7 linked regions of the Macaca mulatta genome follow. The protein of the gene in region 3 purifies or fractionates together with the protein of the main gene of each other region. This does not show direct contact. Links are inferred from orthologs where the notes say so. Each region holds a gene or a part of one and is shown on either strand. Other genes may lie near its edges. The genes, in order: HNRNPR, SMARCA4, FUS, ZNF326, HNRNPUL1, SNRPD1 and DDX5.

What was found.
Region 1: the proteins of FUS (region 3) and HNRNPR purify together in Homo sapiens (affinity purification with mass spectrometry; 4 studies listed by BioGRID and IntAct, with this or other methods). This does not show direct contact. The link is inferred for Macaca mulatta from reciprocal best matches to the Homo sapiens genes FUS and HNRNPR.
Region 2: the proteins of FUS (region 3) and SMARCA4 purify together in Homo sapiens (affinity purification with mass spectrometry; 3 studies listed by BioGRID, with this or other methods). This does not show direct contact. The link is inferred for Macaca mulatta from reciprocal best matches to the Homo sapiens genes FUS and SMARCA4.
Region 4: the proteins of FUS (region 3) and ZNF326 purify together in Homo sapiens (affinity purification with mass spectrometry; 3 studies listed by BioGRID and IntAct, with this or other methods). This does not show direct contact. The link is inferred for Macaca mulatta from reciprocal best matches to the Homo sapiens genes FUS and ZNF326.
Region 5: the proteins of FUS (region 3) and HNRNPUL1 purify together in Homo sapiens (affinity purification with mass spectrometry; 3 studies listed by BioGRID and IntAct, with this or other methods). This does not show direct contact. The link is inferred for Macaca mulatta from reciprocal best matches to the Homo sapiens genes FUS and HNRNPUL1.
Region 6: the proteins of FUS (region 3) and SNRPD1 purify together in Homo sapiens (affinity purification with mass spectrometry; 3 studies listed by BioGRID and IntAct, with this or other methods). This does not show direct contact. The link is inferred for Macaca mulatta from reciprocal best matches to the Homo sapiens genes FUS and SNRPD1.
Region 7: the proteins of FUS (region 3) and DDX5 purify together in Homo sapiens (affinity purification with mass spectrometry; 5 studies listed by BioGRID and IntAct, with this or other methods). This does not show direct contact. The link is inferred for Macaca mulatta from reciprocal best matches to the Homo sapiens genes FUS and DDX5.

What each region holds. Positions count from the first base shown.
Region 1 is NC_133406.1:217,695,277-217,699,396, reverse strand, and holds the end of HNRNPR (heterogeneous nuclear ribonucleoprotein R), read right to left. Parts: intron 2,111-4,120; coding exon 1,989-2,110; intron 1,852-1,988; coding exon 1,239-1,851; 3' UTR 571-1,238; downstream 1-570. UniProt on the Homo sapiens protein: Component of ribonucleosomes, which are complexes of at least 20 other different heterogeneous nuclear ribonucleoproteins (hnRNP). hnRNP play an important role in processing of precursor mRNA in the nucleus.
Region 2 is NC_133424.1:11,727,087-11,730,722, reverse strand, and holds part of SMARCA4 (SWI/SNF-related matrix-associated actin-dependent regulator of chromatin subfamily A member 4), read right to left. Parts: intron 3,307-3,636; coding exon 3,048-3,306; intron 1,654-3,047; coding exon 1,527-1,653; intron 1-1,526. UniProt on the Homo sapiens protein: ATPase involved in transcriptional activation and repression of select genes by chromatin remodeling (alteration of DNA-nucleosome topology).
Region 3 is NC_133425.1:29,823,021-29,827,155, forward strand, and holds the start of FUS (RNA-binding protein FUS), read left to right. Parts: upstream 1-1,314; 5' UTR 1,315-1,390; coding exon 1,391-1,403; coding exon of another isoform or gene 1,404-1,407; exon of another isoform or gene 1,408-1,793; intron 1,794-3,562; coding exon 3,563-3,587; intron 3,588-3,677; coding exon 3,678-3,847; intron 3,848-4,135. UniProt on the Homo sapiens protein: DNA/RNA-binding protein that plays a role in various cellular processes such as transcription regulation, RNA splicing, RNA transport, DNA repair and damage response. Binds to ssRNA containing the consensus sequence 5'-AGGUAA-3'.
Region 4 is NC_133406.1:150,632,149-150,635,784, forward strand, and holds part of ZNF326 (DBIRD complex subunit ZNF326), read right to left. Parts: intron 2,633-3,636; coding exon 2,597-2,632; exon of another isoform or gene 2,543-2,596; intron 2,503-2,542; coding exon 2,391-2,502; intron 286-2,390; coding exon 1-285. UniProt on the Homo sapiens protein: Core component of the DBIRD complex, a multiprotein complex that acts at the interface between core mRNP particles and RNA polymerase II (RNAPII) and integrates transcript elongation with the regulation of alternative splicing: the DBIRD complex affects local transcript elongation rates and alternative splicing of a large set of exons embedded in (A + T)-rich DNA regions.
Region 5 is NC_133424.1:52,417,641-52,421,276, reverse strand, and holds part of HNRNPUL1 (heterogeneous nuclear ribonucleoprotein U-like protein 1), read right to left. Parts: intron 2,961-3,636; coding exon 2,887-2,960; intron 1,219-2,886; exon of another isoform or gene 1,142-1,218; coding exon 1,002-1,141; exon of another isoform or gene 463-1,001; intron 1-462.
Region 6 is NC_133423.1:70,797,234-70,801,517, forward strand, and holds the start of SNRPD1 (small nuclear ribonucleoprotein Sm D1), read right to left. Parts: upstream 2,835-4,284; 5' UTR 2,727-2,834; coding exon 2,713-2,726; intron 1-2,712. UniProt on the Homo sapiens protein: Plays a role in pre-mRNA splicing as a core component of the spliceosomal U1, U2, U4 and U5 small nuclear ribonucleoproteins (snRNPs), the building blocks of the spliceosome.
Region 7 is NC_133421.1:74,403,301-74,407,496, forward strand, and holds the start of DDX5 (probable ATP-dependent RNA helicase DDX5), read right to left. Parts: upstream 2,930-4,196; 5' UTR 2,700-2,929; coding exon 2,656-2,699; intron 2,634-2,655; exon of another isoform or gene 2,371-2,633; coding exon of another isoform or gene 2,327-2,370; intron 1,454-2,326; coding exon 1,288-1,453; intron 932-1,287; coding exon 835-931; intron 727-834; coding exon 593-726; intron 482-592; coding exon 416-481; intron 180-415; coding exon 38-179; intron 1-37. Other genes in the region: CEP95 (centrosomal protein of 95 kDa), read left to right, coding at 3,703-3,721. UniProt on the Homo sapiens protein: Involved in the alternative regulation of pre-mRNA splicing; its RNA helicase activity is necessary for increasing tau exon 10 inclusion and occurs in a RBM4-dependent manner. Binds to the tau pre-mRNA in the stem-loop region downstream of exon 10.

The sequences.
Region 1 (4,120 bases), on a different chromosome or scaffold from region 3:
AGGCATGAATGTTTCTCAAAGCAAATTTACATAGTAATAGGAAATTATATTCCTAAACCAGTAACTGAAATGGTAGTCACAATCACGTTTACTAAAACTAAAGTCCGCAGTGCAATTGACGCCACAGTACTAACAGTTTTCCCTGTATGTACATTCACTTATCCAGCAAATAAGGTCTTCAGTCACAAATTATCCCTTATAAAGAATGTGGGTCAAAATAGATTGCAGTCTGCTTTCCCAGCCACATTTTATTTGTTTTAACACAAATTATCCAATGCCTGCAAGAATGCTCAAAAGTCTATGAACCTGTTTTTTTTTAAAAATAAAAGATAAAATTTCAAAATTAGAAGAGACTATGAGAGAACACCAATCAATGAAGTGCTAATTGGAATAAATACTTGAATTTAGACTAATCCTCAGTCTAATATCCACAATACATGTTGGAATAGACAAGAAATTTTGCATGAATTTGATCACTCACATAGGCAGTTATACTTTGAAAACAATATTCCTTGCAAGGATTACGAATAAAATAATGTTTTAGGACACAATTGAATTTGAAATAGGTAATGTTTTGAATAGATTTTTTAGTTTTATTGAAATCTTACATGAACAAGAAATTGGAAATACAATCACATCAAAGAACAAATTGTCACGGCTTTTGACGTTTAAGCCAAACAAATTTTGTAGGGCAGATTTCAAAAAGGTGTGAAGTTATAACAATTTAAAAACACAGTTAACCTACTTCTAGGAATGCAAAACATACAATCATAGGTTATTTTCAATACAAGAAAACTTAAATTTGTTTGCTTTAATTTCTTAAAACTACTAAGACAAAGCACTAGCTTGTATTTTTATTTACAGCATACTCCATACTCCTATGTAATCTATCCCAAATCCAAAAAAATGAAACTGTCCAAAACCAAAGGTTCTGCAAAATCATGATTTAACAGTGTGCCCAGCTTGTTTTGAAGCTAAAATGAAGCCTGAAACCATAAAAGCATTGTAATCCCCAGAATAAGGGAACTCTGCAAGCCCAATAATGTCCAAGAGCATTTATGAAAAGAGGAAAAATAAAAAGACTTGAGTATATACACAATAGTGATTTCTTCAGCCCAATACAAATGGCAGCAAAATGCTACTTAAAGATGAAACAGTTAAGCCAATTTTTTTTTTTGAAGAATGTAGATCTAGAGCCAATCGTATCTTGCCAGTATCATTTTCAAGCCCTTACTTGTCTACTTCCACTGTTGCCCATAAGTATCCTGATAAAATTCCTGGTTGTCATTATTGTAACCATAGTTACCAGAATAGTCACCACCTTGCTGAAGCGGCTGCTGAGCGATGGGTTGGGAACCCCAGTTCTGTTGGTTGTTGGTCTGACGACGCTTGGAATCAGGTTGGTTGTACCCATCTGCCTTTCTCTTGCCTCCTACATTGCCCCCACGATTGCCCCGAGATCCACGGGAACCACGGCCTCTCTGCTGTTGAGCAGGACCCCCTCTGCCACCCCTAGAGCCTCTTGGTGGTCCCAAAGGTGCCCCCCTCTGTGAATAGCCAGCTCTACCTCTTGGAGGTGGTGCTCCCCTCCCCCTTGGTGGTGGTGGAGCACCTCGCCCTCCCCTTCCTCCTCCTCTTCCTCTTACTGCATAGCCATCATCATAGCCGTAGTAGGGATCTTCATAGCCTCCACGATAGTCGTGATAATCATAACCATAGTAATCATCATAGTAATCTTCATAGCCATAGTAATCTGGAGGGTAGCCATATCCACCTCTCCCCCCACCACGACCCCGACCTCTAATTGGAGGTGGCATTCGAGGAGGAGGGTGGTAGTAATAATCTTCATACCTAGCAAAGGAGGGAAGGGAGAAAAGAAAAAACAAATCAGTTTGCTTCAAGACTCTGATTGTGTTTTATTAATCCAATCTCCATTATCAAATGGAGATTCCTTGTCCAAAGACATATCTACTAAAAGGTAGACTCACGCAGTGCTTCTGGAGGCCTGTCTAGCAGCTTGGCGCTCTTTCCTTTTCTTGTCTGGTGGCTTGGCTAAGACTATTTCAATTTCTTCCCCTTCTATTTCTTTGCCATTCATTTCATCCATAGCCTATAAAAAATTGAAAAATTAATTTATTTTATGATATAAAACTATATGTTTTATATAGTGTGCATGCTATCATACTTGACTCATTTAATATACTTAATAATTTACTGCACAATTATTTTAAATGGCCAAAAGGTGAATCTAGCCAGAAAGTTAAACACAAACACAAAGAAAATACGTTTCCCTAGACCTTATCTTTTTATATGTAAATGACATTTAGAACAAAACCTACCTCCTGATACTGTATTTTAAAAGGTAAAAGGGCTGCCACCTATTGCTGCTCCTTAATTCCAAATAACTAACTCCTTAAAAGATAAGCCATACCTAAGAAGCAAATCCACACCAAAGAAGCAAATCCATACCAGGGAAAAATGCCAATATTAATACGAACCAAAGATTAACTTTTCAGGATTAGAATTTTTAAATAAACATGTAGCATACAACATACAGGTCTTACACTGTTCTTATACAAAAATTTCAAGGATCTGAAGCACAAATGAGGTTACAGAGTGAGATTATCTGTAAAATTCAAGATACCAACACAAAAAAACCTAGGTTTCCCTCACAATGCTTAACTCGAAATGTATTTTGCTTGAACAGTTTAAAGTACAGAGCCAGAAAAGGCCTGGACTAATGAAGACTCAAGCAATTACGTAGAAAGCAGTAATCAAACATTCCATGTTCTAGCCCTTTGTTCATGTTGTTCCACCCAACAACCTCTGCCATACATCAAAAGGTTCAGGTACTCAGTAACAAAATGTCACCTCCTCATATTTTATTTTTTGTTTCCCTATACCTTTCTCCCCACTCTGGGCACACATAAAAAAATGTTCTATTTATAACGAGCTATTAGTGATTTATAAGTATCTAGACAAAAATGAAACTAGTCCTCAAGATTGCAATTTTCCCTGTACTGCTTCAGTAAAAGCAACTAAACAAGTTTACAAAAGCTTCCTGGCATAAATTAAAAAATGAAACATCTACTCTCTGCCCCGACCATCCTGGTGACTCCCAGTTCCTGGACTAGATATTTTATAATTTAATAGGCTTCCTTGGCAAACCATCCTATAAATATTTTCCATCAGGACAACCAGTTATTTAAAACCAGTTGAGTCAGGAGGAATATTTGGAAAGCATAAAATTATTAGTTATCTGCATTCTATACCAGTAAAAATTTCAGACGCCACACATTAACAGATAAGAGTGTAACAGTATAACAGATAAGATTCCATACTTCAAAGCCAGATTATTACTGAGTTTGTGATCTTGGACAAGTTATGAATTTTATGAACAATACTGCCTCATTAATTAGCTATCATCAATGAGCAAGCCGATTAACTATAAACGAGTCAGAGATTCTAGAAAGCCTGTTTTAAAAGCAGCACCCTGGGCAAAAAACAAAACCAAAAAATGCTCAAATTAGAGGTGGTAGTATCCCACCAACCAAACATGCCAAAAAAGAACCATGCCTGTGTCACTAAGCATTCTGGATCTATCTTCCCAGTAACATAAAAAAGATTTTAGTAGTGTTTTGTCTTGCTTCCCATCACCTCAAGGAAGGAGAGATGAACAAGAAAAAGAAACTGAAAATTTCACCCATTAAAGATAGTCCGAACCCATTGTCAATAGAAAGCAGGTTTTGTGTTCCAAATACCATATGAAAATACTTTCTTCATACTTATTATCATCAAAGACTAAATCAACTATTATACACAAGAGATATCTCTAACAATTACTGAAATCAGTAAAACATAGTGAATGCTATTTTAACTCTAAAATGATTAAATAAAGGTAAAACTAATCATACCCTCATCACAATACATCTACTCAAATACTGTATGAGTCATGTACACCACTCAGTTTCCTTCATAGGTACACAAACTGAGGTAAACTAAGTAGTTATAATATATTCATTACCTATTTAGTGTTTACAGCAGCTAATTTTTATACCTTGTAATACTTCCAAGGCATCATGCTATCAAATCTTACAAAACAATAGAGATTAAAAATAAC
Region 2 (3,636 bases), on a different chromosome or scaffold from region 3:
ACACACACAGCTTCTTAGGAGTCATTCAGAAGTACAGCACCCTTGGCTGGGTGTGTGGCTTAACACCAGTAATCTCAACACTTTGGGAGGCCAAGGTGGGAGGACTGCTCAAGCCCAGGAGTTTGAGACCAACCTGGGCAATATGGTGAGACTTCACCTCTACAAAAACTAACCGAAAAATTAACTAGGTGGCCAGGAGCAATGGCTCATGCCTATAATCCCAGCACTTTGGGAGGCCGAGGCAGGTGGATGGCTTGGGCTCAGGAGTTCGAGAGCAGCCTGGGCAACATGGAGAAACCCTGAGTCTACTAAAAACACAAAAACCAGCGTGGTGGCTCACGCCTGTAATCCCAGCACTTTGGGAGGCCAAGGCAGGAGGAACACCTGAGGTCAGGAGTTCGAGACCAGCCTGGCCAACATGGTGAAACACCGTCTCTATCAAAAATACAAAAATTAGCCAGGCGTGGTGGCACGTGCCTGTAATCCCAGCTACTCGGGAGGCTGAGGTGGGAGAATCACTTGAACCTGGAAGGCAGAGGTTGTAGTGAGCCAAGATCATGCCACTGCACTTCAGCCTGGGCTAGAGTGAGACTCTGTCTCAAAAAAAATAAAAAATAAAAAAAAAATAACCCCAGCATGGTGGTGCACACCTGTAATCCCAGCTACTCAGTGGCTGAGACAGGAAAATCACTTGAACCACAGAGCCAGAGGCTGCAGTGGGGCGAGATAGCATCACTGCACTCCAGTCTGGGCAACAGAGTGAAACTCTGTTTCAAAAAAAGGAAAAATTCGCCAGGTGTAATGGTGCACGCTTATACTCCCAGCTACTCAGGAGGCTGAAGTGGGAGGATGACATGAGCCTGGGAGGTCAAGTTTGCAGTGAGCTGTGATCTCTCCACTGCACTCCAGGGTCTCACTAAGAACAGTACCCTCAGAAATAGACCCATGCGGGACAGCACATGGTGGCTCATGCCTGTAATCCCAGCACTTTGGGAGGCCGAGGCAGGCAGATCATTTGAGGTCAGGAGTTTGCGACCAGCCTGGCCAATATGGTGAAACCTTGTCTCTACTAAAAATATAAAAATTACGCATGGTAGCACACACTTGTAATCCCAGCTACTTGAGAGGCTGAGGCAGGAGAACTGCTTGATCCCGGGAAGCGGAGGCTGCAGTGAGCAGAGATTGTGCCACTGCACTCCAGCCTGGGTGACAGAGCAAGACTGTTTCCCAAAAAAAAAAAAAAAAAAAAAAAAAAAGGGAAAGGGAGGAAAAGAAAAGGAAGAAAGAAGCCCTTGCAAGTCTGCTTCAAGAGGCAAGTGCTTTAGGGTAGAGAGGTCCATGTCTCCAGCACTGTGCAGGACGCAAGAGGAAGGTTCTGCAGTGAATGAGTGCCCATGGGTGGCCACAGCTGCTTTTCACAGCCCAGGCAGGTGTAATACCAGCCCAGCAAGCCATACTTGGAGGCTTAACAGAAGTGTTGGTGACAAAGGCCCTTCCTGGAAAGCTGCGGCCGTGCCGGCACCCACCTGCCTCTGAAAGTTCAGCAGCCTGAGGGCCTTGAGCTCAATGGTCGCTTTGGTTCGCAAATCCCCGGCCAGGGACCCGGGAAGGTTTTCAAGTTCCTGAATTCGGTGTGCAATGCGAGCCTGCAGCCTGGGAGCAGAGAAGAGAAGGAGCAAAGGCAGTGAGAGGCTTGCCAGGGCACCCGGTTATAGCTGGAGCTGCAGGGGACCCATCCCTCGAGGAAGGAAGGTGCTGGTCATGAGGCAAGAGATGCCTCAGAAGAGGATGCTGGCCGCAGGGCAGAGCAGAGAGGGAGGCAGCCAGGGACACTCCTCAGGACCGGGCCTTAGGGGGCAGCAAACAAGATTCCTGATAGGCGCGCCCAGTTCATGCCTGTTCAGTGGTGTGAGCCAGGTTCTGGCATCAGGTGGGCCGGGGTTTTCATGCAGCCCTGGCATGGATGAGGCACAGGGCCGTGAGAATCTACTTCACCTGCACACCTCAGCATTCTCATCTCAAAACTGAGGCGACCCCTTGGAGAGACCCTAGAGGTGTGGTCTGAAGATTACAAAGGTTACATAGGAAGGTTATGTGAACTAATCCTCTTAATCAGTCTTTCCGCACATACTCATTGAGCACCAACTGTATGCCAGGGACCATTTTGAGCGCAGGGCCTTACCACTAAACAAGATCAGCAAGTCAAGGAACTCTCAGCCTCATTAGAAAAAACAGTCCATAACAGAGATTTAAAAAAATAAAATAACCACTGCAATTCCAGAGAGTGGCTGGAAGTGACGGGAAGGGCCTCCAGAAGGAGGGAATCCCAGCAATGAGGCCTGAATGAGTAGAAGGAGCCAGCACGGCCTGTGCAAAGTTCCTGGGGCAGGAAAAAGCCTAACTTATTAAATAAATGAAAAGAGGAACAGAGAGAGTGGGGTGGGTGAGGAAGGATGCTGGGCAGGAGTGGACATAAGGCAAAGATTATTGGGCAGATAATTGGAGTTACAGGCAGGTTTTAATCCAGGGAGTAGATCTGACGTCAATCAATCGTGAAAAGAGAACTCAGGCCAGGCGACGTGGCTCACGCCTATAATCCCAGCCCTTTGGGGGGCCAAGGCAGGCAGATCACCTGAGGTCAGGAGTTTGAGACCAGCCTGACCAACATGGAGAAACCCTGTCTCTACTAAAAAAAATATAAAATTAGCCAGGCGCAGTGGCGCATGCCTATAATCCCAGCTACTCAGGAGACTGAGGCAGGAGAATCGCTTGAAACCGGGAGATGGAGGTTGTGGTGAGCTGAGATCGCGCCATTACACTCCAGCGTGGGCAACAAGAGTGAAATTCCATCTCAAAAAAAAAGAGAATTCAGACTGCTGTGTGGGAAACAGACCGCAGCCAGAGTGGGAGCAGGGAGGTGAGGAAGGAGGTGTAGGCCAAGTGGCAGCGGTGGGCACAGGGCACTGTTTCCTAAGGCGGGGGAGAAAGTTGAGTGGCTTCCCCAGGGGGACATATGGGACATATGGGAACTGGGGCCACGCCCTCACCTGTACTCGCGCTCCTGCAGGATCTCCACAGGGTCGAGGCCCCGCGGCTTCTGGATGGGGGTGATGCGGCTCTGCTTCTGGTGCAGCGGCACCATGGGTGCGGGCTGGGCCGGCTGCCCGGGTGACTGGGTCTGGGGTGGCATCACAGGCGAGGCGGCAGGTGGGACGGCAGGGGGCGCAGGGGAAGGGCGACCCGTTGGCTGCGGGGGGATCAGTTTCTGAGGGGTGCTCGTGGGGGCAGCAGCATTCGCCATGGGTCCTGGGAGGAGGCAAGGAGCCAGGGCATCGTGTTGAGCTCTGGGGCCCATCCAGGCTGGAAACAGAAAGCTGCTGGGCTGCTCGAGGCCCTGGGGACAGGCAGACCCCGCCCACCTCCCACCTCTCACCTAGGGGTGTCCCTCACACCCGCCTTGGGCGCCAACCTCCTCCAGATCTCAGCCTCACCCTTGTCCCTCACACCCTTCACTGGGGCCAGCCCCACACCCCTGAGGCTTCAGTGTTCTGTCTGTGGCTCTACAGCAGCATTTCCTGTCGTCTCCTCCCAGTGCTAAATCCAACGGAAGCAATTTGCCCTTCAATGCCCATCGCT
Region 3 (4,135 bases):
GGGCTTAATTTGCTGGGGGGGGCCCAGGACATGGCCCTCATTGTTTCTCTAGAAGGAAAGGTCCAACCCTCAAAAGACCTTCCGGAATCCCGCTGAAAGTTAAGTTGGGAAGGAAAACCTGCATGCGTATGTATCAGGAATTAACGTCTTTTGTCTTGCTTTGTTCAGTAGTTTCAAATTGCCTTCTCCAGGCAAGGCTGATGAAAGTGCAAGTTGCAAGTTAATTTGAATTTTTCTTTCTGCTTTTGCTCTCACAGGAAGTGGAAAGGCAACCAAACACTCTAGCATTCATGCCACCAAAAAGAGGTTTTGCAGTTACAAGACCTGGATTCGAATCACGACTCCTCTTAGCTGCCCTGTAATCAGGCACAATTACTTGGGTCTCTGAGTCTCACTTTTCTTATGTAGAAAACGGAGATATGTTTACCTCCTTCGTAAGACTGATGAGAAGGAAATTATCTGTGCATTTTGAAACCACTTAAGCCTTGTACACGTTTTATTTCTGGGATCGCCACTGGTTCCCTGGTAGGGCTTCAGAAAAATAAAAAGGAGGTCCCTGAGCAAAGGCTGGGGGGCCCTTCATCTGAGGCCAACCCTCTCTTGTCCCAAGGATGGCCTGGACTGCTCCGCCCCGCGGCTCCCCAGGGGCAAAGCCGCGAGGGTCCGGGTGAGAGCCCAGTGCTGGACCAGCTCGGCGCTCAGGGGTCCCGGCCGAAATCCCTGCTGTCTTTCAGGTCAAACGTCATAATTCCCGAACCCCAGAAAGGCCGAAAAGCAAGGCAACCCCGAAAGACGACGAAGTCAACACCAGGGCGCAGGGCCAGTGTGCTGACGACGAGGGAGGCTGGAGCCGCGGGGACAAGGCGCCCCATACAGCGGCAAGAGGGCGGAGGGCAGGAGCTCGCCGTCCTGGGTGAAAGCGGGGCCCAGCGAAGAGGCCCGGCCACAGGAATGTCGGTTCCACCCCGCGACTCCCGGCGGTGACTCCAGTTTCGTCCCCAGCCGCCCGGCCCCGCCCCGCCCCGCCCCCAGCGGGCACTCAGGCCGTACCACTGTGCCTTCATGGGGGTGGAGTTAGATCGTGGGCTAGTCCTGCCGAGGAGAGAGGGGTTCTTCCCCCAAAAATATCATTATGTATAGTATTTGCATGATTCTAGTTAACTCGTTTCCCATCTGCATGCTCGGAACCTCTACCTACGCTAGGAAGGGGGCGGAGCGCTTTCCTGCCTCCCCCTGCTCTTCCGCGTTTGGTGCGCGCCTGCGCGGTGCGTAGGCGGCGGGACCTACTTAAGCTTCGACGCAGGAGGCGGGGCTGCTCAGTCCTCCAGGCGTCGGTGCTCTGCGTTGTTGGAATCTTGTTGCTTGCTTGGCTGTGCGCGCGTGCGCCGACATGGCCTCAAACGGTAGGTAAGGGCGCGAGGCGGCGGCGGCGTACCGGGCCGAGGCCTCCCACCTAGGCTTTTCATTTTCGGTGGGACCGGGGTGGCGATCCTGTGTGGGATTCTTTCGCGCCCCTGTGGCGGGAAACCGCGGAGAGGGGTAACTGGAGGAGGCTGGTGTCGCCATTTTGTTTCGCTCCTCTGGCCCTCGCGCGCGGGGCGGCAAGTCTTCTCTTCGCAGTCCGTTTGCTTGGGGTGGTCGTTGGGAGGGACGCTTCTTAGGGGCTTGAAGCATCAGGTGAGGGTGGAAAATGCCCGGTTTCCGTGGCCTCGCCTCCCCCAACTCCCGGCCCCGCGCTCAGGCCCGCTTTGTCGCAGTGCTGCATCCGGGCACTCGCGGTGCGCACGCGCTCTGCGGGCCCCTCCCCCTTCGCGGTGCGGGTACCCCTTCCCCGCCTCGTGTCGGTTCAGCTTTTTGTCGCGAGACCCTTCGCGGAAGACTTGGCGGCGCGCGTCCGGTGTGAGCCTTGTTCCTCTGGTCTTTCGCGAAGGGGCGGGACAGCTCCATTCCCGCCTCGGTTGCCACGCGGCTGGGGGCGGAGGCTCGGTATCTGGGCCGCGCTCCGGCTTAACGGTTTGGAGGAGGTGGTCGTGGATCCACCAACGGACTCGGTGACCTGGCCCGAGAGTTTTTCCCGCCCCATTTTTTTTTTTTTTTTTGAGTCAAGATCTCCCTCTGTCGCCCAGGCTGGAGTGCAGTGGTGCGATCTCAGCTTGCTGCAATGTCCGCCTCCTGGGTTCAAGTGATTCTCCTGCCTCAGCCTCCTTAGTAGTTGGGATTACAGGCGCCTGCCACCACAGCCCGGCTAATCTTTGTGTTTTTTAGTAAAGACGGGGTTTCACCATGTTGGTCAGGCCCGTCTCGAATTGCTGGCCTCAGGTGATCCGCCCTTCTCGGCCTCCCGAAGTGTCGGGATTACAGGCGTGAGCTTCCGCTCCTGGTCTAAATTTCTTTTTTCTGAGATTGGGACGGAGAATAACAGCCGTCGAGGCCACACCCTCTCCTGGTCCTTTCCCTTTTCCTGCGGGGGAAGCGCCGCGTTTCCTGCGCTGGGAGGATGAGTTGATCTTGTTCGTGTATTTAAAGTGGGGCGTTTCAAAAGGGCTTTCGTTGCTTTTGGTTCGCCCGGGGGAAGGCAGGGTAGATGAGAAAACAGAACCATCTGGAGCCCCACGGCTGGGGACTCGAGTACCTGTTGACTTTGGCCTCTTAAGGCGAGCACTTGGATGATCTCTGTCATTTGGGGTCCAAGGGCTCTTGATTCTCTGGCTTTGCACTAAAAAGCCCACTACTTCTCCGGAATTGGTCAAAGAGTGAAGAATGGCCTTTTTTGAGACATTCTTCTGTGGGTCTGGGCTGAGAGAGTAGAGGCCACAATCTGAACACTGCTCGAATTCAAACCTGTGCTACTTGGTAGCTCTACGACTTTGGGAGCGAGTTAGTCTGTTTTGACTCCTGGCAATAATGGCTTTGTCATAGAGTGGATGAAGCGAATGCGCGATGTTTTAGAGCAATCACTGACATGAATTGGTCTTGCAGAAAGTTGTGGCTGTCCACCAAGACCTTGGTTTTTCCAACGGTTAAGGCTTCTGGGACTCTGTAGAAACTTGCATTTTCTTCACTTTTTCTTTTTTGTAAGAACACTTGGCTGATAGGCCAGTTTGCTACTCTTCTCAACCAGTGTCTCAATGGGGGAATTTTATGCCCTTTATTGAAACGTGATGCTTTTTTTTTTTTTTTTTTTTTTTTTGAGACGGAGTCTCGCTCTGTCGCCCACGCTGGAGTGCAGTGGCGCGATCTGCAACCTCTGTCTCACGGGTTCAAGCGATTCTTCTGCTTCAGCCTCCCAAATAGCTGGGATTACAGGCGTGCGCCACCATACCCGGCTAATTTTTTGTATTTTTATTAGCGATGGGGCTTCATGTTGGTTGGAATTCCTGACCCCAAGTGATCCATCCACCTCGGCCTCCCAAAGTGCTGGGATTATAGGCGTGAGCCACCGCACCTGGCCTGTGTGGTCCTATTTATTCATCAGTGCTTGAGTTAAGGAATTTAGCTTTAATTCAACTGTTTCAGAGTGGCGGCTGAAGATAATATGATTGTATTTTTTTTTTTTTTGCAGATTATACCCAACAAGCAACCCAAAGGTGAGTGCTGTTTTTGGGCTTCCAGAGTTTGTAGAGGGGAAGGGTGGTCAAGCTGTGTTTTCTGATCACGCTGGTTTTCCTTTCATCTAGCTATGGGGCCTACCCCACCCAGCCTGGGCAGGGCTATTCCCAGCAGAGCAGTCAGCCCTACGGACAGCAGAGTTACAGCGGTTACAGCCAGTCCACGGACACTTCAGGCTATGGCCAGAGCAGCTATTCTTCTTACGGCCAGAGCCAGAGCAGTGAGTCTTTCTCAGCAGGTCACCTCTTCCTGCTCTTTCTGAATATTGCTTTTCTTTTTTTTCTTTTTCTTTGGGAGACGGAGTCTCATCCTGTTGCCCAGGCTGGAGTGCAATGGTGCTATCTCAGCTCACTGCAACATCCGCCTCCCGGGTTCAAACAATTCCCCTGCCTCAGCCTCCTGAGTAGCTGGGATTACAGGCACCTGCTACCACGCCCTACTGATTTTTGTATTTTTAGTAGAGATGGGGTTTCACCATGTTCGATAGGCTGGTCTAGAACTCCTGACCTTGTGATCCACCTGCGTC
Region 4 (3,636 bases), on a different chromosome or scaffold from region 3:
ATATGGGGTGAAGAAAAACTGCTGTAGGAAGAGTAATTCTCTCTTCCTCTGTCCTCCATAAACCCAGGCCTCAATTTTGAACGGGAGTAAGGTGCTTCCCAGCTAGACCCGCCCTGGTTTCTACCTCCGAAAGAGTCAAGGCTATTCCGGTAGGAGCTCTCAAATCGACCACCATAACTACCTCCGAAGCGGCTTTGTTCGGGTTCATTAAAACCATAGCCAGATCTGTACAGATCTCGCCCACCCAGAGAAGACCTGGAGTCGTAAGACTCATAAGGTCCAAACCTGGAAAAGTTGCACAGTGAGGGAAAAAACAAAAGTAAGCTTACTAATGTTAGACAATTCAAAAGACAAATTATCAGATGACATTTATCAACTAAAATTCATTTATACCATACTGGTTTGCACAGTTCTACTTTTGTTCACACTTGATTAGGGCTGGGCAGTTCAACGTGAGACCAGATAGAAAGCTATCTGAGTCAGATTCTAAACATGAATTGAGTTTAGTAAAACTTAGCTTAAAAATCTGCTTCTTAGCAGCTTTTCTATTTTATGAAAAAGAAAGGATTTGTCTGTCATTATTTAAGCCCAGCCCTAGTCTTGGAAAAGGTCATTTGCTAAAGTTCACAAACTATTCAAACGTTTTTGAATCTATCTCTATTATTAAAAATTACAAAACATTTACAACATTTTGGCTTTCAATAAGGACACAAACTGAAGTCTACTTAGATGTAGGTTATTTGTGACACAGAGAGATCCTTTTGCACTCCCAATAATCTATATCACAAACTGCTTCATTGTGTCTGTAGGAGTCAAAATTTGGGGAATTATCTCTGGTTATAAAAATTTGACAATCTGCCAAACTTCAGCCAAGGTCAATTAATCAATCCTCAATCACTTTTTACTTGTAGACTAGAAAATCTAACAAATCTAGAAGGATAAACAGATAAAACATAAAAGTAAAAGATCACCAACATATACCCTCTGCATATGAATTTTCAAGGCAGATGAAAAAGAATACATCTTATAATATATTCAATTATTTGAAAAATTATATCCTTCAGGAAATTATCACATAAAACTATCCTTAAAAAGGGAGCACACAGTCTCCTCGAGGTTTTAAGAGAGTTAACAGAAGAAATAAATCATCTTCCTTCTCACAAACCCAAAGCATGGATTACAAAAGTTGCTTGATATCTTACAACACAATTTTATAAAGACCCACAATTACACATGAGATAAAACAATAACATCTACAGAAATAGCTTATGCACATTACATTCACAATATAAAAGGGCAATAACTGACATATTAAAACATTAAGTGTTACATTACTTCAATTATTTACAGATCACTAAATAGAAGGTAGTATTTACTTCTGAATCCTAGTAACCATATAAAAATTATTCCTATTTCCAACTACATTTTTCAAAACATCTATCACATAAGCAAAATAGTTGCAACTGTTCAGTTTCTTAATTTTTCTTTACTATAAATCATAGTGGCACACTGGAAGCAGAAAGAAGGAAAGTAAGCATCATTCAGTCCATCATTAAGGAATCCGGATCCTTCAATTTATGAAGAAGGATGACTGTTTCACATGTCTACTAACTAGTTTTACTTATATTCAGCAGGAACCTTTGTGCCTCAAAAAGCAGACACCCCTTCTCCTGAAATATGGTCAACCTTAAAGCTTGTAGTTGTTTAAGTAGGTTTAAGCTTTATACAGTAGTAACAGTATAAATACAATCTAGACTAGTAAAAGGTATAGTATTCATGGCTTTAATACAATGCTCCTAGCCTAGAGCACAAATGCTTTGGTGTAAGTAGTACCTGCCAATAAATAACCTGAACATAATTTTAAAAATATTTATATTATTGCAATATGCTCTTCCTTTAAAATTAGAATTAAAGGAATATGTCTTGAATGTTTCTTAGAAAGCAAATGTTAGACTGTTTCAGTAAAATCCATTCTAGTTAGACTGCTTTGCTAATTTACATAGCACCCCACATTAGAAAAGATTTTTTTTAATTATTAAGAAAAAGCTTCATAAATAATATTTTCAATAACATTTTTATATCATTTTTCAGGATATTTTGATTGACAAGAAGTTAGAAGTAAAAGAATTTTTAAAAAGTTCACTGCTAAAAACAGAGTATCTTACTCTATTGTATTGACATGATATAGTTATCTGGTGTTTTCCTAAAATAATGTCTGCCAGTAATCCTGATTTAAATTTTATCCCATTAGTTAACACCTTTAAACATTTAAGGTGATGATTCAATAGCAAACAGTGAAGTTCAAGTATCATAACATGCCTAAAGAATACTTAATATATCCAGAATCTTATAGTTGTCTAATTATTTGGCCAAATGATTAAGCAATTTACCTGCTACCCCCACCACCACCACTGTGATTGTCCATGCCATATGACTGGTTTAGGTAGGACTCCATGGATCTCTGACCCCCATAGGATCCATGGCCATAGTCACGATCCATCCCTATAAGAGTTTAAAAAGAAAAAAGTTATATGATGCTCACCTTTACTGGCACTCAAAAGAAGAATTTTTAGATAAATATCCTTGAATGTCAGACCTCCGTAAGATCCAGGGCCATAATCACGATCCATTCCTAAAAGAGAGTCAATAAGAAATTGTCAGTAAAATACACCATTTTCTTCAGGGATCTTTGCACAAAACACAAGATATTCCTATCTATCTCCTGAGATAATAATTTACTATTAACATTTAAACTAAATTCACACTAAATGCTGAAGGGAAAAACACAAAGATGAGAAGCTACTAAATCAAATTTGCTTAAAAAAAAAGCCTGATATTTCAAAGAAAAACATATTTTCAACTAAAAGTTCTACATTAGAATTATTTTCTTTTTTGATTTTCTTTTGAGACTGGTTATGAGACTGGCTAATTTTTGTATTTTTGATAGAGATGGGCTTTCACCGTGTTGCCCAGGCTGGTTTTGAGCTCCTGGGCTCAAACAATCCACCCGCCTTGGCCTCCCAAAGTGCTGGGATTACAGGCATGAGTCACTGCACCTGGCCACAGAATTATTTTCAATTTAACCAATATTTATTTGACTAGGGGACTACTATAAGGCCTTGTATTAAGTACTATAGCATATATAATTAATGATACATAATTCCTATTCTTAAGAGAAGTCAGCATTTAATAATGTCAAAGGGGAAATTTTTGTTCTATATGACAGCAGTAGACTATACTTGTTTTATGCATCTAACTCCTCTCTAAATGTCTGAAAACTCAGAAGCAGCCACGTTTCCAATTAGCCTTGTTCACAGTAATTGAAATAGACATTTTTAAAAAGTAAAATCACAGAGTGAGACCAATCTATGGCACTGTGCCTATAAATGATGACTCAACAAACGAATGCAAATTTCTAGCAATGTGAACACTAAAAAAAAAAAAAAAAAAAACTAAGACACAATAAGCATATTGTCTATTTTATTACACTGCAATTCTGCCTATATACCAACCTCTGATATGAAAAATAAATACAACAAAAGAGGTAACAAAATCAATTTAGGATGACTATAAAAATCAGAAAGTAAAACAAACATTTAGAATTTGTTTTCTATAAAGTACTTTAAAAATCCCTCA
Region 5 (3,636 bases), on a different chromosome or scaffold from region 3:
AGACGGTACTATGAGGATTAATGGAGATAATCCATGTAAAGAGCCTGGTGCTGTATCTTGTGCATGCAAAGAGCTCTATAGTATTAGCTATCATCTGTAAGTATGGATACACAAATAGATAAGAAATTGTTAACACAGAAGTTCCCTCCAGGGAGTAGGATGGAGACTGAGAGGACATGAGAATAACCTGGGCTTTTTTTTGTTTTTAGACAGTCTCACTCTGTCGCCCAGGCTGGAGTGCAGCGGCATGATCTCGGCTCACTGCAACTTCCACCTCTTGGGTTCAAGCAATTCTCTGCCTCAGCCTCCCGAATAGCTAGGATTGCAGGTGCCCACCACCACGCCCGGCTAATTTTTTGTATTTTTAGTAGAGACGGGGTTTCACCATCTTGGCCAGGTTGGTATTGAACTCCTGACCTCGTGATTCACCTGCCTCAGCCTCCCAAAGCGCTGGGATTACAGGCGTAAGCCACCGCACCCGGCGAGAATAACCTGTTTTATCCTGTACTCTTCTGTGCTGTCTAAACTTTTGTTAAACATGAGCATGTATTATTTTCATAAACATAACTTGACATGGAACGGTGCAGAGATCACAGCAGATGCTGGCCTAAGCTGGCAGTTCTTTGTCCTGTTTTCCCTCTGGCCTCCCTTTACTAAGTGACACCTGAGTCTATTCTTTCTAGATCACTTTTCTTCCAAACAACGTATTTTCTCAGTTCTACAAACATGTCATCACTACACTGGTTGACTATACAATACCTGGGTCAACTCTCACCAAGGAAATATCTGCTTGATGAAGCAATGTATGGTTGGCCTGCTTTTCTGATATGATATTTAGCAATGATGTAGTTCTCTTGAGTTCATCACAGTTTTGTCTGCTTGGACACAGTATTGCACGATCCAGTCTCTTTTCCAGTTGTAGCTCTGACCAAGGTGGCTGGTGTCAGGATATTACAATGGACGGACCTCTCTGACCTTCCCCTTCTCTTGTTCCTACTCACCTTCATCTCGAAGCACACACGGCCCCTTCTGACCCCATAGCTGGCACGGGCTCCTGACCACAGGTAGGCAAAGCCCTCAATTGTGAGCGGATAGCCACTACTCCGATCTCGGGCCACTTTGAAGTGGAGGTCGCAGTTATCTGTGAAGGAAAAAGCCCAGTTGGTTCATGTTTTTGTTTTGTTGAGACGGAGTTTCGCTCTTTTTGCCCAGGCTGGAGTGCAATGATGTGATCTTGGCTCACCCCAACCTCTGCCTCCCAGGTTCAAGCGATTCTCTTGCCTCAGCCTCCTGAGTAGCTGGGATTACAGGCATGTACCACCACACCTGACTAATTTTGTATTTTTTAGTAAAGACAGGGTTTCTCCATGTTGGCCAGGCTGGTCTCGAACTCCTGACCTCAGGTGATCTGCCCGCCTCAGCCTCCCAAAATGCTGGGATTACAGGCGTGAGCCACCATGCCCGACCTGGTTGATGTTTTAAAAGTCCTAAGAAACAGGCAGAGGGAAGTTCCCCAAGTGCTGACCAGGAGTACACAAGTGAACACATCTTGGGGGCTTAAGCCATCCTCCCACTGCAGCCTCCTGAGTAGCTGGGACTACAGGGATATGCCACCATGCCCGGGTGATTTTTATATTCTTCGTAGACAGGGTTTTGCCATGTTGCCCAGACTCAAACTAGATTTTAGAATACAAAAAGGTTGATCACCACCACCATATATTCCGCCCTCTGTGCTAATTCTATCAAGTTGGGAACCAGACTTCTGTTTCCAACAGCTATACAGGGATCTGACCCTGATCCACACCTGCCACCCAGGAACCAATGCCCAGGTGCCCCATAGGCTCCTAATTCCTCTCATAGGCCTAGGATTTTCCTACTGTTGCTCTTACCCTTCTCAATATTCAAGCAACCAGTCATGCCTCCAAGAAAGCCTTTCCTGACCATCCCTCCCATGAGGCACTCTCCTTTCTCTGAAGGCTGACCACTGTGGTCGGTACATTTCCATTTCATCAGACACTGCCTCATGAACCACTGCCCCCCAACACTTTTTAAACAATGTTTACCTCTACTCTGGGTAGATTTTGTCTTTGAGAGCTTGCGATATTAGAGACCGTATATATCTTTATCTCTTACAAAAGCATGTAGCCAGTGCTTTATAAACATAAGCTTCTGTAGAAATAGATGAATAAATTGCTGCTTATCTTCTGCTCTGTTGAGAAGTGCAGTGTTCTCAGACCTGACTGGGCTTCTGGGTGCATATAAAAATTTAGATTCACAGGCTCTTCATTAGACTCTGACTAGGAGGTCTGAGGAAAAGGACCTTTATAAGAAATCCTCCAAATGCTCAGATGCGCAGCAAAGGTGAAAGCCACTTATCCAGTGGAAAGAAAGCTGAAGTGGAGGACAGACAGCAGGGTGGGCCAGGTTTGTGCCTCAGAGGACACAGTGACATTGGTTTCACCAAGAACGTGAGCAGCTGATGGAAACGGGAACTAGTTGTCAAAAGAGTTAAGTTTCCCCAGCAGCACTCAGATTCCCTTCCTGATTAGATGACAACCTCTGTGTGTACAGGGCAGTTCAGGGTTTTCCAAATTGCTCCTGTATCCACTGAGGAGTCTCCCTGAAAGTCCTCTGAGGTTATTACGGCAGAATTAACTGAAGGGAAGCTCAGAGAAGTAGAATGACTTGCCCAGGGTCCCACTGCTAGAGTTGGGAGTAGGTCTTCTGCCTCCAAACCAGGACTCTTGCTCCAGAGCTAAGCTGTGTGTCACATGTGGACTAACAATGTCTTTGGACGGTGCCAGGCAGGGATTCTGGTGAAGGTCAAGACACAATTTCCCCATACTGACTATAAGGCAGAATTAGATGGGCACTCCAAAGACTTACAGGTGTCAATAGCAACAAGGGTATCATCAAAGTCATCTTCATCCTCTTCAGCAGGAGGCTGAGGAGAGCGGCCCCTGTGTTAGAAACGGGGGTTAAGTCACACAAGAACAATACATGAGCACAAAGGAAAGAAAATGAATGTTCTGCTATAATCTACAAGTGGCCTCCAGACTGCTTCCTGAATCTCCATTTCTTCCCACAGAAGTGGGCAAAAGAACTCTGGAACCATACATCCTTGCAATGAGAGCAATGACCATCAACTCCTAGGGTGGAGACAGGGATTGGAGAGGGCATGCTCTGCTGAAGGGGGCATCAGAATCATTTAGGGAACTTTTTTGCTCTTTTTTTACACCCTAAGATTCTAATCCATACCCTCTGCATGTTGACAACCACTTCCACACTGATCTCCGTTACTGTTTGGAGGCTGTGGTATCTCAAAAGGGTGCTGTCCAGGAAGGGGCATGTGCAAGAGCCTAGATAAATCCCAATAATTACTATCTATCCATGTACCAGGCTTCTTAAAATCCTACATCTGAGAGAATTTGAGATGACCCATTTTTTTCAGTGTCCTAAATTATAAATGATATTCATTTTCCTACCAAAACACTAAAAAAGGGACTTAACACTGTTGGTTTCTGCTGTACAGGAATGAGGAAGAAGGGTAGAAAGGTAGAGTCTAACTAACACTCAGGGTCCTGCCTGGACAGTCTGGGTGGTCACAGTGCACTGCATGCACAGATGGGGAGCCCA
Region 6 (4,284 bases), on a different chromosome or scaffold from region 3:
TCCCTCCCTAACTGAACCCAGGAACCAAATGGATTCAACTTATTTTCAGACGAATCTTTCAGTATCTGAATTCTTTCTACTTAGTGAAACTTAGATATCAAATAGTCAGATAACACGGTGTCCCTCAGTATCAAAACACACTATCTGAACCCAAAAAACAAACAGGAAAATGTGGGACACTTTTATGCAGTAGGTAAAACTGGCAGTGTATCAAATGTCAAGGACATCAGTAGAGAAAAAGTCAAGCTCACCTCCCAGGTTTTTGGTTAGGGTGACAGTGAGAATAAGGATGACAACTACCAACTGATATACAGAAATAAGTCTACTGAAAACGCAAACCAGTTAGTCAAACAATCATTTTCTGGAGGAAAAATACATTCTCTGGTAAGAAAAAAATTTTCTTTCTATATTTGACCTAAGACACAAAACAGGATTCAGTCCAGGTATTAAAAATTACTGGAAAATTGCCATAACATGCAATATATTTAAAGGGAACAAATGAAATCCAAGGTGTATTACATAAAATTGAACTATGAGTAGATTAAGATTCAGATTAGCAGGTATGGAGAAATTTCTTTTTTTTTTTTTTTTTTTTTTTTTTTGAGACGGAGTCTTGCTCTGAAGCCCAGGCTGGAGTGCAGTGGCCGGATCTCAGCTCACTGCAAGCTCCGCCTCCCAGGTTCACGCCATTCTCCTGCCTCAGCCTCCGGAGTAGCTGGGACTACAGGCGCCCGCCACCTCGCCCGGCTAGTTTTTTGTATTTTTAGTAGAAACGGGGTTTCACCGCGTTAGCCAGGATGGTCTCGATCTCCTGACCTCGTGATCCGCCCGTCTCGGCCTCCCAAAGTGCTGGGATTACAGGCTTGAGCCACCGCGCCCGGCTGGTATGGAGAAATTTCAAAAAATGTTGTAATTTTCTTTTTTGAGACAGAGTCTCGCTCTGTTGCCCAGGCTGGAGCACAGTGGTGTGACGTCGGCTCACTACAACCTCCCGGGATCAAGCGCCTCTCTTACCTCAGCCTCCTGAGTAGCTGGGATTACAGGCGCCCGGCTAATTTTTGTATTTTTTCGAAAGACGGGGTTTCACCACGTTGGCCAGGCAGGTCCTGAACTCCTGACTTCAGGCGATCCGCCTGCCTCAGCTTCCCAAAGTGCTGGGATTACAGGCGTGAGCCACCGCGTCCAGCCTAAAAAATGCACTTTAAATTCTATGACTTCCTATCCAAAATTATAGTTCAAATAAAAATACAACAAAAATTAATCTTAATTGTCTTTTGTACCAACTCCTCCCTGAATTTTTTATTTTTTATTTTTTTATTTTTGCAACGGAGTCTCGCTCTGTTGCCCAGGCTGGAGCGTAGTGGCCAATCTCAGCTCACTGCAACCTCTGCCTCCTGGGTTCAAGCGATTCTCCTGCCTTAGCCTCCTCAGTAGCTGGGATTACAAGCGCGCGCCACCACGCCCGGCCAATTTTTGTAATTTTAGTAGAGACGGGGTTTCACCATGTTGGTCAGGCTGGTCTCGAACTCCTGACCTAGTGATCTGCCCGCCTTGACATCCCAAAGTGCTGGGATTATAGGCGTGAGCCACTGCGCCTGGCCTCCTCCCTGAATATTGAAGGCTTTTATGTGTTATTTAAAACGTTTCAAACAAACGTTATTTCAGACGTTATCTACTTGTCTGTCATCCCCCTAACTAGAAAGCTCCAACAAGGATCTGCCTTTTAAAAAATACTATTACCAGCGCCCAGTAGGTAACAGGTGCCCAATAACTATTTAGCGGATAATGACAATCCTTGACTCAACAGGAAAGAAACAAGCTAAATATTTATAATCGATGGCTTAGTTATTAGAAACGTCTGCCTCTGTTCCAGGCTCAGTCTCAAGGAAAAAGACCAAAACCAAATCTACTCGCAGGTAGTTTGGAATTAGTCTCCAGAAGACTCACCTAAGTGACAGGGTCTATTTCTCGCGAAAGAAATAAAACAGAATAACTATATATCATCTGGGTAATCAGCCACAATTACGTTGTGATAATTTCTGCCCTATATTGGGAGATTTTCCTAAATAAAAAGCTTACCTTAACAGGAAAGAGGTAGAATAATCAATCATAAGTCTAAGGAGAATCAAAAGATAAACTTAAAAATCGGCCGGGCGCAGTGGCTCACACCGGTAATCTCAGCCCTTTGGGAGGGCAAGGCAGGCAGAACGCTTTAGCCCAGGAGTTCGAGACCAGCCTGGTCAACAAAGTGAGACACCGTCTTATTTAAAACAAAAACAAAAACAAAAACTTGTGAAGCCAGAAGTCCTTCTCTGATTTAAAACAGTTTGCAAACAGGTTTGTTTCCAGATAAGCTCATACAGCTTTCTAAGTACTCTTAAGTAGGGCTGGAGCTCCACTCAAAAAGAAAATCAGTAACTGTAAGGGCGAGATGTCTCCCAGGCGGCGCTGTACCTTGAAAGTCTCTAAGTCACTAGGCGGGAAGAAAAGGCTCGGCCTTTATACCAGTATCTTGGAAGACACGCGGGATTCGCGAGCGACCCAGGCGGAAGCCCAGGCCCGAGCACGAGCTGCGGGCGCAGTAAGGCCGGCCGTTAGCAGGCCGCGCACACGCGGCTTTCCCGCCTCCTGCAAATGGGAGAGCCCAGCCTTCCGGACTCCGGGCCAAGCCCTCCCTCCACAGCCCCCGGAGCTGCTTGGTCACTCCCTCACCTCACGAGCTTCATCCTAGCGGCGCCGTCACCCTTCGGGTCCGAGAGCGCACAGAATCCAACAACCGAATACTGACCGACTGCAGTATGAATGGCCGGAAGCGCCTACTCCAGGGACTCCGGTCGTAAAGGGCGCGCGGAGCACAGCAGACGCACGGCGGAAACGCCGAGGCTGCGCTGGGCCGCACTCTCTTCCGGTCGCGAGGAGCGCGACTGCGGCCCCTGGCGGCTGGAGGTTGCCTTGCCACGACTGAGGGTGTTGAGGGCTGGTCTAAGAGGAAAAGTGTCCCACAAGAGAGGGAGATTCGAAGAGATTAAATCCAATTAATAGGACTGTCGCACTTTGGGAGGCCGAAGCGGGGGTATCACCTGAGGTCAGGAGTTCAAGACCAGCCTGGCCAATAGGGTGAAACCCGCGTCTGTACTAAAAATACAAAAAATTAGCCGGATGTGGTGGCGGGCGCCTGTTATCCCAGCTACTCGGGAGGCTGAGGCAGGAGAATCGCTTGAACCCGGGAGGCAGAGGTTGCAGTAAGCCGAGATCGCACCACTACACTCCTGCCTGGGCAACAAGAGCGAAACTCCGTCGCGCGCGCGCGCGCGCACACACACACACGTACTGTCACCATCACGTTTCTGAATAGCAGGGCACCGTGAGTGCAGCACCTAATATAAATTCCTCACTGAACGAAAATAAGTTCTTAGAGAAGCCCAAAGGATTATGCTAATTCTGTTCCAACGCCAGGAACCTTAGCATTACTTAATGTACCTGAAGCAATTCACACAATGGGCCGGGCGCTGTGGCTGACGCCTGTAATTCCAGCACTTTGGGAGTCCGAGGCGGGCAGATAGCGAGGTCGAGAAATCAAGACCGTGCTGGCCAACATGGTGAAACCCTGTCTCTACTAAAAATACAAAAATTAGCTGGGCGTGGTGGCACACGCCTGTAGTCCCAGTTACTCGGGAGGCTGAGGCAGGAGAATCGCTTGAACCCAGGAGGCGGAGGTTGCGGTGAGCCGAGATCGCGCCACTGCACTCCAGCCTGGCAACAGAGCGAGACTCCGTCTCAAAAAATAATAAAAATAAAAAAATAAAATCACACAATGTAGCGGATTATTTTCACTTTAAGTTCCGATCTATAAGACAAACTTTTCAATCTTCATCTTTCACAACATCTCCTCAAAATTTTTTATTGTTTTTCTGAGACAGAGTCTCCTTCTGTCGCCCAGGCTGGAGTGCAGTAGCACGATCTTGGCTCACTGCAACCCTTGCCTCCCCGGTTCAAGCGATTCTCGTGCCTCAGCCTCTCCAGTAACTGAGATTACAGGGGGGAATCACCACGCCCCGCTAATTATTGTCTTTTTAGTAGAGACAGGGTTTCCCCATGTTGGCCAGGATGACCTGAACTCCTGACCTCAAGTGATCTGCCTCTCTAGGCCTCCCAAAGTGCAAAGTGCTAGGATTACAGGTGTGAACTTCATCAAGATTTAACACAAACACTCCCCTTACCTCTTTCAGGTTTCAGGATGCCAAGCTCACCTGGCCTTTTTCCTTATCCCACTAACTACTCTTG
Region 7 (4,196 bases), on a different chromosome or scaffold from region 3:
AGCACCAATAACAAATAAAACTCTCTTCATTACAGACCTCTCTCCAAATCACGTATTTGTGGTCCCTTGGGAGCACCACCATAGATACAAGTAGACTTCAAGCGACATGCTCTACAATATTCAGCAGCTACTTGCTGCACCTGTTGGGCCAGTTCCCGAGTTGGTGCCAGCACCAAACACTAAGGAAAGAGAAACAGCTTTCAGCACAAACCTGGATACTAGTTTTAAACTATTAACTTATTAGTTATGATGGCAGATCCTTTCTTCATGTGTTGTCCAATACCCAAAGCAACTCCAGCTGAATAGGGTGAGCTAACCTCTGTATAAAACCACCACAAATAATTACATCTTTTGCTATGTAGTCTAAAAATCTATATATTACACTTCTAATAAAAAGTTAAAAATATATACTTACAATGGGCCCATCGCCTCTCTCTAGGAATGGCTGATGATTGATGTGGACAATGGCAGGAAGCAAATACTATTTGGGGTGAAGACGGGGACAAACAGAAATCACATTAAAATACTCTTGTTTTTAAATTAGCATTCCGTTTTCTTGCACATATTACATCAAGAGTTCTCTCAAACTTACAGACAATGTTTTCCCAGATCCAGTCTGTGCCACTCCAACCATATCCAATCCACTTAGAGCAACTGGCCATCCCTGAGCTTGAATAGCAGTGGGTTCAGTGAAATTCTGTCTTGCAATAACATCCATGACATTTGCTATAATTAGTGACAGATATTTAACAAAAATTAGTGATGCCAAGGAAAGGAGGAGGTAGGTGAAAACAAAAACACAGGGGTAGGGTAGAACTGAAAAGTAGCACTCACCAGGGAAATTAGCTTCATAAAAATTTAGAACTGGCTTCGGGCAGTTGTGACCTCTAACTGTAATTTCCTTGCTTCTTCTGTATGTTTCCACCTCTTGCTGCAAAACAAATTATAACAGTCTTAAAGCTCATGACAACCACCCCTAACTAAATACGTAATTGGCAAGCCCGTAACTTCATAATTTAGTAACTAGTTTAAAGTAGCTTCATTTTAATCTGGAACCGCGTATGAAAACCCTATATGACAAAAAAACCGTTTATTCTGCTATACTCAATCTAAAAAAAAAAAATTCCCAAAGCCACCTATTTGCAAAAGTGAGTCACACCTTTCCCAATTACGAAGTCAGAAAACGTAACTCTACCAAAATTGAGTTATTTGCAAAACACCTGTCAGAATTTCATTTACTAGACTCCATTGAGTTACAGCCTGATGAAGCCACATGAATTTACTCACTGCTGTCCGCCTAGCCAAATCAGGGTGCTCTTGATAGAAATTCTTCTCAAACTTGGGCAGCTCATCAAGATTCCACTTCTTTTTAACTAGTTTCTCCCCAGGGTTTCCAAACTTCTTTCCAGATAAGGGCCCCGCCCTACTTCCTCCAAATCGAGGTGCACCAAACCTGGAATGAAGAAAAAAAGTTATTTACATTTTCAAATGGCTACACCTAGGTTTCTGGACAGATTTGTTTACCATCCCTTGGCACAAGCTAAAGATCACTGAAAGCCGACTTCGAGAGGTAAACCTAGCACTGTCCTTAGTGATAATCTCTCTCTCAACAGCCACAGTTAACGTTTCCCGTAGTCCCAAGTACACACAACTTAGGCCACGTAAACAGCCTGGGATTTACTATATCGAAAACTTGTCACCCAGATGCCAGAATTTAGTATTACACACCACTTCTTGTGGTTACTATTATCTTTCTCACCAGTCTAGCAATTCATTATCAGTGATAACAAGCCTACATGAACCGAAGAGCATCACAACGATGTTACTCATATGGCCGTTTTCAAGCCAAAGAGCTTTGATGTCAACAATCTAGACAGCACAGACAACGAAAACGAAACAACGGTTTAGAAACACTTCTGCTAGCAAACCGAGCTGGGGGGACGCCGCGGTAGAGCTCCGGATCAACGAATTAAAATTATATAACGCAGGAAAAAAGAAAAGGAGGAGCCGGCGACTACCGGGGGAGGAGTCCCGGCCCGGGCGGAGCCGGCCGGGCGGCGTTCCCGCTGGGGCGGCGCTTCCCCCTTTGTCTCGCATTTCTCTCTGCGCCACATTTTCTCGACGCTGCCATTTTGAGCTCCTCCGCCGGGCGGAGTAACAAAGGCGCCGCCGCCATGTCCAAGGCCGGCATTTTATACCCGCGACTCAGCCACATGGCTGATGCCGGCCGCCCTCCTACCCCCACAGCACCAGTGGCTTTGGAGGTGGTCCCTTCGCTCCCACAGAATGCCCGACCACCCCAAAAACACCTCCCGAAAGGCCGCACCTAACAGCTGTTCCTTCGTCTGCCTCGAAGCGTCGCGCTTTCATCCGAACAATGCGCTCCCTCTGAATTCCCTCAACAGCTACCAAATGGCAGCCGCCCCGACGGCTCCCCGACCCCCACACAAAAAGCGAGGATGAAGACACTATCCCGTCAAATCTCTCCCACTCACTGTTACGTGAATATCAAAATGGCGCAAGCCTTCGGGAAAGGAGGCCCCAAGATAGCCCGGAAAGGCCGAGTCCAAGCCGCAAAGCCCCGGCCCGCCGCCACCCTGACCCGCCCTCCCATCCCCCACCCGCCAGCCCTGACAACTCGGCTCCCACACTCACCCTCGATCCCGGCCGCGGTCTCGGTCACTCGAATAACCCGACATAGCGTCAATGGTTGCGGTTGGCGGGGAACGAAGTAGATAGAAAAGGGTGCGACGAGTCGCTGGAAATGGCTTCGGCGACGGCGAAGCCTTGCGGGGGCGGCAGCGGAGGAGTGACGGCGATGACACCAGCCAAAGCTGCACACCTAGAGACCGGTGGAAATGAATGAGGTGCCGGCCGCTTTCCGGCAGCCGCTTTTATAGTCTGGACCTCCTCCTACGCCGCAAGGCACGCTGGGAGCCGCTCTATGACCTAATCGCCCCGCCCCTCGCGCAGAGGCCGCAACGCCCGCCGGCGTTCCGCGATCGCCGCGCTTTCACCCCACCCCGTGCCGCTCTCTCAGGTCAGGGCCCACCCACCATTGAAATGCCTCATTCTCCACTCTCTTGACCTCACCTTCTTCTCGTCTTTCCACACCTCAAGAAAGCCACCCTGCCCTTTCCCAAGCCCAGCCAGACGATAAAACAGCCAGCCCAAGCCCGCCCACCCTCCCCACTCGGAGGTGTTTACGTCTCCAAAGAGCCCTCACGCCTGTAACCAAATGAGAGGGAAGGCGGGGGCCTGGCGTTGTCACGTGACGTTACCCCCCCACCGCCCACCGTGACAGGGGGCCGCACTACTTCCCCGTTGACGTCGGCGGAGGGATACATAACGAAATAGCTCACCGGAAGTGCGCTGCCAGCACCCGGGACCCGCCCCCAGCTGCCGGCTAACTTGGACCGTCCGACCCACGGGTCTGACAATCCTGTGACGGGTTTTGGCCGGCGGAGAATGGTCTCTAAACTTCCCAAACCGCTTCCGTGGCACGTGCTGTGAAAGGAAGTGCTCCTCTGATGACCAATCAGCGGCGAGAAGTTCTTTTAACGTCCCTCCCTCTTTCACGCCTCCTTCCCCGCGCTTTAGTTCGTGCGCCCGCCCCCCAGCGTCTGCTCTGCGTTCGGTCCTTGCAGGACACCGTCGCCGGTCTGGCAGCGTCGGAGTCCGGCGGCGACCTGCTTCCGAGACATGGCCCGCTCGGAGGCTGGTGAGTGTTTCCCTGGGGTCGCGGTGTGTGTTTACTGAAACTGTCCACCTTCAGGGAGGCCTCGGGCTAGCCCGGACTGGGTCTGGGGTGTCGGCGGGGCTCGTTACTGTCAGACGCTGCGTCGCGGTGGCGGGTTCTCTGGATAGGGTCTCTCAGCTTCACCCCCTCTTCGCTTTGAGGCCGTGGAACAGCAGTATGAGGTGGGAGAGAGGCACTGGGGCGAGGCCGGTAGGACGCTCGGGTCCTGGCTGCAAAAAGAGCAGTCAGAAGGGTCGTCCTCGGACTTGTCTTTCTGTGGGGCGTCTAGCCGCTGTCCATGTGCCCTCCTCCCTTGCACTATGGGCCCTGAGGTCGTACCTCCTTTTGTAGTGGTCTTTAAAGGAACGGCACTCTTAAGGTTTATTCATGCCCCTGCCACAGAAGAATAGTGGTGCTTTTTTCTCTTCAGTGCCCTCTAGAGTCATGGGCTTTGTCT